Caenorhabditis elegans: one gene and its partner. The protein of the gene in region 2 interacts with the protein of the main gene of each other region in a pairwise test. Each region holds a gene or a part of one and is shown on either strand. Other genes may lie near its edges.

Region 1 (5,399 bases), on a different chromosome or scaffold from region 2:
TACTCTTATAACACGGTTATAACTTATATTTGGGAATCAAAAATTCCTTGGACGTCCAAATTGTTTATAAGATAACTATCATTAGCGACTCTAAGATTGAAGTTTTGTTTGAACTGTTTGAAGATTGAAATATTCAAAATGTAAGCGTTCATGTAAACTTTAAAAATGGCAGAAGGTATTTCTCACAGAATGGCTTCACCATCGTTCAACAAAAAAACTGAAAGCCGAGCTCTTTCACTTTAGCTCACTTTCGTCCATTCCAGGAAAGATGGCCTTCTTCTTCCATCTCGACGACCACCAAAACGATGACTTCATTCCCCCTATTTCCATCTCCTCACCACTAAATGACGAGTGTGTAGTTGAGAAGGCGAAAAAGAGCTCCAGAATTCGAAAAGCCCTCCTCTCCTCCGCTTCTTTTTTTTTCGTTTTCGTCCCGTCTTCCAACAAGCCATCTTCGTCTTCTTCTTCTCTAATTTATTCACTCTCGGCCACAGGGGGTTCCGAGAAGATGTCACCACCGACAACATCAGAAAAATATTTTTAAGGGTCATGTCACGAATTGGTCCGTTTATTAGAAGCACTGCTTTTCAGGTTTCTTCAGAAGAATTCATGATAAAGACAGAGGACATTTTGGCCTTCCCCTTGGCCATTCATCCACTATTCATCCCTGATTACTCATTCATCCGTATTTTCCAAGTGTGTCCGCTCTCCTTTTCAGCTTCCTCTCTCCAGAATCCTCTCCAGTCGCTATGACGACGATGAGGAAGAGCAACAGGATACAAGAAGCAAATGTGGAGGATGGCACACGACGAGAAGAGAGTCATGTAAGGATTTATTAAAGAGGTGGTGGTGTTGGTGGCTACTGGTGAAAAGAGGAAAAAGAAAAGGGAAGCACGTCCAAAATGTACAAACAAGAAGAGTTGGAAAACGAGGGGTGAACAATATAGAGAAGGGATTTTACAAAGCGAATGTAGTTTACAGATTCATTGTTGTTGAATTCAGGGCATCCCGCATGGCAGACATTGTCACATCATCATAAGTGCAACAGATTTTGGCTTTGCCATTTTTGGTTCGGTGACAGATTTGGTTTATTCCACGACAATTGTCATCTGTGCATTGCTCTCCGGTCTCAACATAATCCTTTGGACATCCTGAAGTAATAATTCAATAAAAATGAAGATCTCTAAAAATTTAGACATTGGTAGAACAATTTATGGATTTACAGAAAAATCCCAAAAATATGTCATTAGTTTTCTGCTTTCTATGATTATAGTTTGTAATTTGATAAGGGTGTTGTGGCAGCAGAATTATAAAATAACTCTAATTATTGTTTGCACTTTTGCAAAGCTAGTTAATCTTGTGATAACTGAAACAGATATTCATATACTGATTTCAAGAAGGAATGCATTGAACAATTTTTCAAAATAAAATTTCCTTGGAAGTCACTTACTGTTAGTTCCCTTGCAGCAAACATGGGTATTTGGATCACACATATGACCCATACTACAATCACTGGATCTCTCACAACGAATTAATTGCCCTGACTTGTCTACTGATGGTTCTCCTCTTAGGCCAATTGAGCACATAATTCTTTTGCACTGTCCGTCAGCATAACTGAAACCTGCTGGACACGAACAAATACTTCTGGCACATTCCATTTTTGCAACTTCAGCGTACTCTTCGGCGGCGTCGGGACTCTTTGAGTAGACGCATTGCGACGAAATGTGACAGCTGTCTCCATAGTACGCCATTGAAAAGCACTGGCCTTCGTGGTAGATGTCTTCGAGTGAAACACAAGGCTTTGGACAGCAAATCTGAAATTTTAGATATTCTTTCAAAGGGGTTTGAGATTTTGAAAACCATACAGATTTCTCGGTGGCTACAGAATCCCTATGACAGTAATAATCTACGGGACATTTGTTACATCCATAGTCTGGAGGATATGACGATTCATGTGGTTCTCCCACAGGGCATGTTGGGCGAATTTCGGATGGAGACGGACAACAAAATCCCTTATAATAACCGGGTTTACTTGCATCATCGAACACAGGAACACAATAATGCTCATCTGGACAATCATCTCTTTCATTTCCAAAATCCAAAAGAGTTCCATTTTGAATTCCTTTCATTAGACGTTCAAATTCGGCATCGTTAATATCACTTCCATTTTCTGACTTTTTCAGGCTTCTGAAACTGGTGGAGACACTCGAAAGAAGAGAGTTTTTGAGAGAGCATGTGATAAGCTTTTCATCTCGTTTTAGGGGAGCTGCTTTGTTGACACATCGGTACTCTGCAATTTTCTGAGATGAACTAGTTTCAATGAAGTTTGATTGATATCTAATTGATAAAAACATTTGTGCTGAAAAAAACTCACCAAGGGGTTCACAACCTCCATCACCATTTCTCTTGAAACCTCTCTTACATCTACATCCTCCTGAAGAGCATTCTGAAAATGCAGCAGAGCATTCCATATCAGTCTTACACTTTTCTTTCAGACGTCTTCTAACTCTTTGACAAGTTTTTCCATCGGAAGCAAGTGTGTATCCAAAGTCTGTGGCACACTCACACATACAATTTCCACGGGCTCCACAGATACAAGCTGCTCCACCAGAACATCCAGATTGTGGAGAGCACACTTGTCCTCGCCACGGACGTTCATTTTCAATGATTGCTGGTGCACGGGTAACGACGACTGGGGGCTCAACATCTACACCTGGGACGCAGCAGAATCCAGTTGTAGTCTCACAGAAACCATTCTCAGGGCATGGCATTACTCTTCCTTGTTTGAATTGGCACATAATAGGTTTGCCAGTTATGAAGTTAACCATGGTTTTCTTAGTTTTTGGACAGGTTGGTAGTTCTGAAGAATGTAAATTTTACCGGTTAATTTGATAATGAGGATCCTCATTTAATTTTTCAAAATGAATAACCATGTCCTGAAATATTTACGTTTTATTGAAAACGTGGTCCCTTTTTTTTCCAACGAGAATTTTATAATCAATACGATTTCTTACTTGTACAACAAACTCCATGCACTGGATTACAGATGTGAGTTGATGGGCAGTCTTCAGTCAAATCGCAGATTGTCAGAGTTCCAGTAGGAGAGAGGACAAGTGCACCTCCTCCTGGACAAAAATCTTCCGATGTTCCTCCCAATGCCGATTTCGGGACAAGTGACTTGAAGCATCCGGATTTCTGTCGTCCGTTAACATTGCCAGGGCGACACTCTTCACCCTAGAATACGTTTAAATGAATCTCCGCGCATTTTAATACTTAGAAGTTAAAAAAAAACGATACCTCGTCACATTGTAAATCATTGGAACACGAATCTTTCCTACAAGCGCCTTCTTGACAGAAGAATCCTCTACCACATTGCATTGAATGAGTACATCCTCTTCCAGACGCTGTTCTAGCGCTGACAACTCCAATGAGAAATAACAAAATTGACAGGATGACTAGCCGACGGGATCGCATTGCTACTGACTGAAACTAAAATCTCCAGCTATATCCGATCTGCCCCAAAGGACCGCCCTTTGAATGTTGGCACACCTGTTGGTTGATTCAGCCGCATGCTCAACTGACCGTTATATTTGGTCACTGTCTTCAATCGTGTCAACAACATGTACATTTTTATGTATATCATCCAGCATCAATGAGAACGCGTGCAGCTAAAATTGGAAACATTGCATACAAATGGGCATGGTTGTAAGGGGAAATGGAAATGTTTAAAAATAAAATAGTGAAGAACAGTAATGTACAAAGACTCGAATTATTAGGCAATCACACATCCACTGGAATTGCTGGGATCCTTTTCTGTTTGGTAGATTTTCTCCTCGTGAACTGGATCAAGCTTTGACTTGCTCTGAAATTAGTGATTACAACAGTTTAAATGCTTTATTCTTTTTAATAAATGCATTTTTTAAGTCGAATGTTTTAAGGAAGAAATTTAAAGGAGTTTTAGTATGACAAATTCGAATGTTTCCTAGATTTTTTGGAAATGAAAAATGAAAAAAAATTTCCTTGTAAATGTGTTAACATTTGATAAATCCGTATACTGTTCAAATTATCTGTTGTTTTTTTTAGATCAAACTAACGGAAATTGCATGTTTTCGCTTTTTTTGAACGGATTTTATTGTCAAAATTGTATTTTTGGTAAACGCTCAATTTTTGAATTTGCTGTTTTTGAATTTATATCCAATTTTTACTTTAGAAGGCAAGAACGGAAATAAAAATTGAGCGTTTCAAATTGAAACACGTTTTTCCAGAACTCAAAATATTTGTTATGTAATTAGTTTAATTTAGTTTTTAAAAAATCGACGCGCCTACCTTTTTAATTTTTGAAAAATCTGGCATATTTGCTTTGGACAAATCAAAAGCGGAATAAACTGCCGTATTCCATGATTCCGCTGGTGGAGGATAGGTAAACGAATCAAGTTTAGCCAATCCATATGTTGCTTCTACATCCAATTGAGGAATCTCATCTGGAACTTTTTGATGATAGATGAATCCATTTTCTCGCTCCGCTTTTTCCAAATGTCGATTGAGCAATGGCTCGATTCTTCTGAAGAACAAGTGTTGCTCAGGCTTGATACGAGTTCCAGGACCAGTTGCAGTTGCATACATTGCTGCCATTTCTTTAGCAACTCCATACTCAGCAATTCCTTGCTTACAAGCTCTCACAGCTTCTCCACATTTATCCTCTGATAGTTGTTTCTGTCCGAGGAAGGCAAAAGCATACGCCAAATAGAAATGATGCTTCAATTGCAGATATCTTCTCCATCTCGCAAAACTCTCATCAGGCAAATTATTCAGGCATTGATCAGCTTTTGAGAATATCGATGCAGTTACAGCAGCAAGCGATGAGATTAATCCATCATCATGTTTCATTTCAATAGCTCTAGCTACAATGACCTCTTGTGCTTCTGCTGTGGCAGTCAAAATATACGTTTCCATAACTTTCGGATCAAAATCTGAGCCTTCAACTTCATTGGCACCGGAAAGTCGTGATGATTCATCTTTCACATATTGGAACATTCCACCTGCTTGTCTCAAACACTGAAGACATTCCTTTGCATCAGATTCTCGTACCTCATCCTTTCCAGCCATCGACGCAGCATGCTTTGTGAGCCACATTGCCATACATTGAATCATACTGAGAGCTTCAAACCAAGTATCCGAAACTTCTGTGGCGGCTTGTGGAAGCATTGAGTTACCCCATTTGAAGCGGATCAGTGGAATTAGTTTGCTGTTTTTGTTGCCTGCGTCCTTGTTTTCCCTGATAAAGAGCGTACTTTAAATAATGTTTAATTTGGAAAGTATTTTCTTTAAAAAATTTGTTTGTAAAAAGGAATGGTTAAAAATCAATCAAAACTGGTAAACCAAAAGTATAGTAATTTTTG
Region 2 (4,282 bases):
AGAAATGGATGGAATTTTTAGGCTTTGAAGGTTTCGAAATGGACTGTCACTTTCCTGAAATGTAATTTATAATCAACAAGAATAATCGAAAAATGAATTCACAAACCCTGAGTTTGACATGCTGAACAATTCGTTGTGAAGCGGCCAGGTAATAATGAAAATATCTTCTGATTATTGACTTATCATTCGAGAATCTCACAAGTTCCGGGGCCAACAAACATTTGATTTTCACTTGATCCATGTTCTCATCGTATTCAAAAATATATTCAATTGACTCCACCTTCAAAATTCCTGATCCTACTTCTATTGGTCCTTCTTCACTGATTGCTCCGTAATCCTGAGAGAATGACATAGTCTTCAGTGAATAGTCTAATCGACTGTGAATTGATCGAAATTCTGGAGAAACTTTCGAAAGCTCCATTCTATAAAAAAATGTAATGCTTCACTGTTTTTAATCAGAAAAAAAAAATTAACGAACCTCTTACTGTAACTGAGATATGGGACGATTTTTAACAAATTCGGATACTGGAGAACACGTTCGGTGGTCATGATGAAGATTCAAAAGTTTAGAAATCACAAAAAATAAGCATTTCCATCTCTTCATTAGTACGCAGTTGAAATTATGTTTCCGCAATCGTCGCGCCTGCGCCCGTAGGTCAAAAAAGATTCCAGAGATGTCGCGTAATCAGGTCTACTTTAAATTTAAAACATAGTTCTCCTGTAATTTTGCCATAAAGCGTATGTATTATGCTATAGATTTAAAAACAGTCAAGGCTATACGAGAACAGTTTATTGTATGAAAAATTCAAAGACTCGAAAAAAAGACTAATCTCAAAAAAAGTAAAATTTAAAAAAAACATGTTACAGACTTGTAGAAAAATTATCTCACAGATTATCAAACTAGACAGGCATTGATGACAGTGACAGAAAATGGGTACACTATAACAAATTTAGTAGGTTAATAGAAGTAGCTACGTCCAAAGATTGTAATTAGAAGACGAGTGAAAGGGATGCCGGGTCAACCGGGGAGAGCGATAGGGGGAAGGTGCACTTTGGATCAAATTGAAGTAAATATTAGGTGAATAATACAATGAAAAGATAATTTCATTTTAAAAAAGATATTAGCTCACGAACCAAATATTAATTTTTGATTTAAAACTCGAACACAAAATTTCGAAATATGGCATGAAGAATTGATTTTCAATTATGAAAACTGGTAGCTTAATAAAAATAGTTACAAGGAATAGTTTTATATTCAATTGACATCAGTTCCTCTTAGAACTTTTCGAATTTCGCATTTGTTCGATTGCTCGAATACTGTCTTCTTTTTCTTTGATAAGTTGTTGGACACGTTCGCGATGCTTTTTATCCAGATTGTATTGGTCGGCTTTTAAATTGCTGATCTGAAATGTTTCAATCAATAATCTAAAACTGGAATATAAATCATACTTGTTTATCCTTATCAAAAATAAGTTGATCTTTTTCAGCGAGCAATGTTTTCAGTCGGCGAATCTCGTCTTCCATTTTCTGTTGCTTCACCATACTCTCTCCGGGATCACGATCTCCGAATGGAGGGAATCCATTTCCATTTTCATTGTTTGGAACTAGAGGTGGAGCTCCACCAGACGAAGATGTTCCGTTGTTACTGTTATTATTGGGCTCTTCTTGGTGTCGCCGTTTGTGAGCATGACGATGATTGGAATCGCGGTGATGATGTTTGTCGTCTCGTCGATGATGGTCTTTATGATCTCGATGATGATGAGATGTTGGACGGTGTTGACGATGATCTCGATCTCTCTGCTCTGTTGAGGATCCTTCTCCTGATCTTTCTGGCTTCTCAGGTGGCACTGGAATTCCTGCTACAACGGTTTGATTCGTATGACGAGCTTGTAAAATGCACAATCGACAGAGCAATGCAGCACCTTCGACCTGGAAAACATGAAATTAAAATTTGTTGGTGATAAGGCAAAAGGGGGAACAAGAAAATTTAAAACGATCTCACCTTATCACTTTCTCTTCTTGGAAATGCACAACTCAATTTACAATTAGCACATGGGAACGGGTTTCCGAACTTTCTTTCTGCATGTGAACACCACACACATTTTTGGTCGTGAAAAGCAGCATTCAGTTTACAATATTGACATGTTCCGGGCTAAAACGATAAAAATTACATTAAATCGACATGAAAATTAAACTTTTACACTCACCTTTCCGTATTTTGCCTCATTCTTCTGACATTTTTGGCATTGAGCTGTGCTGAAAATTTATAATTATAGTTTTTCATTTGAAAAATCCAGAAAAAGTGTACTTACTTAATGGCGTCTTCAGGAAGTGCTACACGACAATTAAAACACTTTTTAAGAATCGGACCAGGCATTTTCAAGAGAACTCGAGCGAGTCGAGTTTTTTTCAAACAAATCGGTTAATATCGGTTACCGTCGAACACCGAAAATGCAGCAGAGAAATAAAGAAATAGAGACCAGTCACAAGCGTCAGCGTTGCAGCGAGACAAGAAAAGAGTGCAGACACCCTCACGTCACAATGCACATCAAACCACATAGTTGACGCGCAGCATTCCTCAATTGTAGAGACAATTTTGTTCCGAGAATTGTAAGCCTTTGGGTATGATTATTTCGAACATTTATTAGTAGAGAATATATAAAAACATAACATTAAATTATTCCGAGATCCTTCTTTCGCGATGTTCGTTCGAAAAAGTCACCAAAACTCTCTCCGGTGGTGCTGAAACTCGGCCAGAAACTCGCTGAAATAATAAAAATACAGTACCTATACAGTAACTTATCCCATGTATACCTCATAATAAACATCAACAAGTTGTTCTTTGAGTGCCGCCCGCTGGCTGAATAACTCTAAATCTCGTTCTGCAGTTACGATATCAACAGCACAGTCAGTTATTTTGTCTTCATTTCGTGTCAACACAATACACACATCATCTACCTGAGAATATTGAAATTGGGAGAAATTGCAACAACTGGTTACCTGGAGAATTTCACAATCCAAACCATAGTTCTCGCCACTTTTCCGAGGATTACAGCTGCACCAACCTTTCCCTAATACAAAGAATGGGTGCTCGACTTGACACTTCAATGGTATCTGGAACAACCGTTGATATATTCTCAGAAATTACAAAATTATTTAGTTATTACTAGTTGTTTCTCAATTCCAGTTTCAAAAATAATAGTAACACTTCCAGCTGTTGATTTAATAGATTTGATCACAGAAGCATTGACAATAACATCATCTGATTCTGCAGCACATCTGAGAAAGTCATCAGATGACAAATCTTCCACTTTTTTGATATTTCCATTTGCCACGTTGAGTTGAGTACCACGCATGAAATGTGTAGGATAATAAGTGGAAGCTGGGATTGTGCCCATTTCAAATGCTATTGATGGTTCAGATGTTGATGGTTGTGGATCAGGTTCTTCAGTTTTGATATGTGGTGCAGTATCTTCAGTTGCAACTTCCACGGGGTAAGACGTTGTTGGCAAAAGAGCCGGGGTTAGTGGTGTAACAGTGATTGGAGGAGGAAGTGGAGGTAGAAAATGAAATGCTTGAGGTACAGGCTGAAAGCATCAGAATCTCAGTTTATTCAAATTTCAATTTAATAAATAATCGCTGTAAACGTACTGGCAACTGTCCTATTGTTGAATTTGTGCCAAGAAGAAAATTGGCAGGATTCCATAAGTTTACATTTCCAGTCTGACTTGCAAGTAACAGTTGTACCAAATCGGGATTGAGAACCTGATTTGGAGCGAAATTCATTATTTTGATACAATAAAATACGTGCAATTCGTTACCGGAGTCGATTGATTAAACAAGTTCATTCTTATCTATCGATTTATGAACAAAAAATGATGGCTTTATCAGTTTGGCTAGAATTGTGTATTTCTTGTGTGATAAGAGAAAGAAATGTACGTATAGAATACTTGTGAAAATAAATGCAATAAACGCGTCAAGTAGAGCTTATTGACGCTATTTTGGTCGCTTGCAGAAACGTTTCACTTCTCTTGGTCGGGGTGCGCACGGAAATTAAGATTTGAAAATTTGAAATTTAAGGAATTGTGCGTATTTTTTGTGTCAGAATAACTAATTTCACTCCAAATCACGTCTCTTATCCCGATTTGGAACAACATGCTACTTTCAAGTCAGACTGGAAATGTAAACTTATGGATTCTGCCAATTTTATTCTTGGCTCAAATTCAACAATAGGGCAGTTGCCATTATGTTTACATCAATTATTTGTTAAATTTAAATTTGA

Evidence for each region.
Region 1: the proteins of K04F10.7 (region 2) and B0507.1 interact in a two-hybrid assay, tested with the Caenorhabditis elegans proteins (one large-scale study listed by BioGRID).

What each region holds. Positions count from the first base shown.
Region 1 is NC_003283.11:8,774,735-8,780,133, reverse strand, and holds B0507.1 (EB domain-containing protein), read right to left. Parts: upstream 3,565-5,399; 5' UTR 3,550-3,564; exon of another isoform or gene 3,504-3,549; intron 3,490-3,503; 5' UTR 3,475-3,489; coding exon 3,298-3,474; intron 3,235-3,297; coding exon 3,015-3,234; intron 2,861-3,014; coding exon 2,375-2,860; intron 2,291-2,374; coding exon 1,866-2,290; intron 1,815-1,865; coding exon 1,451-1,814; intron 1,152-1,450; coding exon 976-1,151; 3' UTR 816-975; downstream 1-815. Other genes in the region: B0507.2 (BRO1 domain-containing protein BROX homolog), read right to left, coding at 3,773-3,862, 4,327-5,275.
Region 2 is NC_003279.8:6,364,573-6,368,854, reverse strand, and holds K04F10.7 (Protein FAM76A), read right to left. Parts: upstream 2,525-4,282; 5' UTR 2,378-2,524; coding exon 2,313-2,377; intron 2,257-2,312; coding exon 2,208-2,256; intron 2,153-2,207; coding exon 2,003-2,152; intron 1,930-2,002; coding exon 1,450-1,929; intron 1,404-1,449; coding exon 1,266-1,403; 3' UTR 777-1,265; downstream 1-776. Other genes in the region: ZC308.4 (F-box domain-containing protein), read right to left, coding at 1-54, 107-422, 479-549; K04F10.1 (AXH domain-containing protein), read right to left, coding at 2,678-2,764, 2,815-2,958, 3,001-3,114, 3,168-3,587, 3,652-3,786.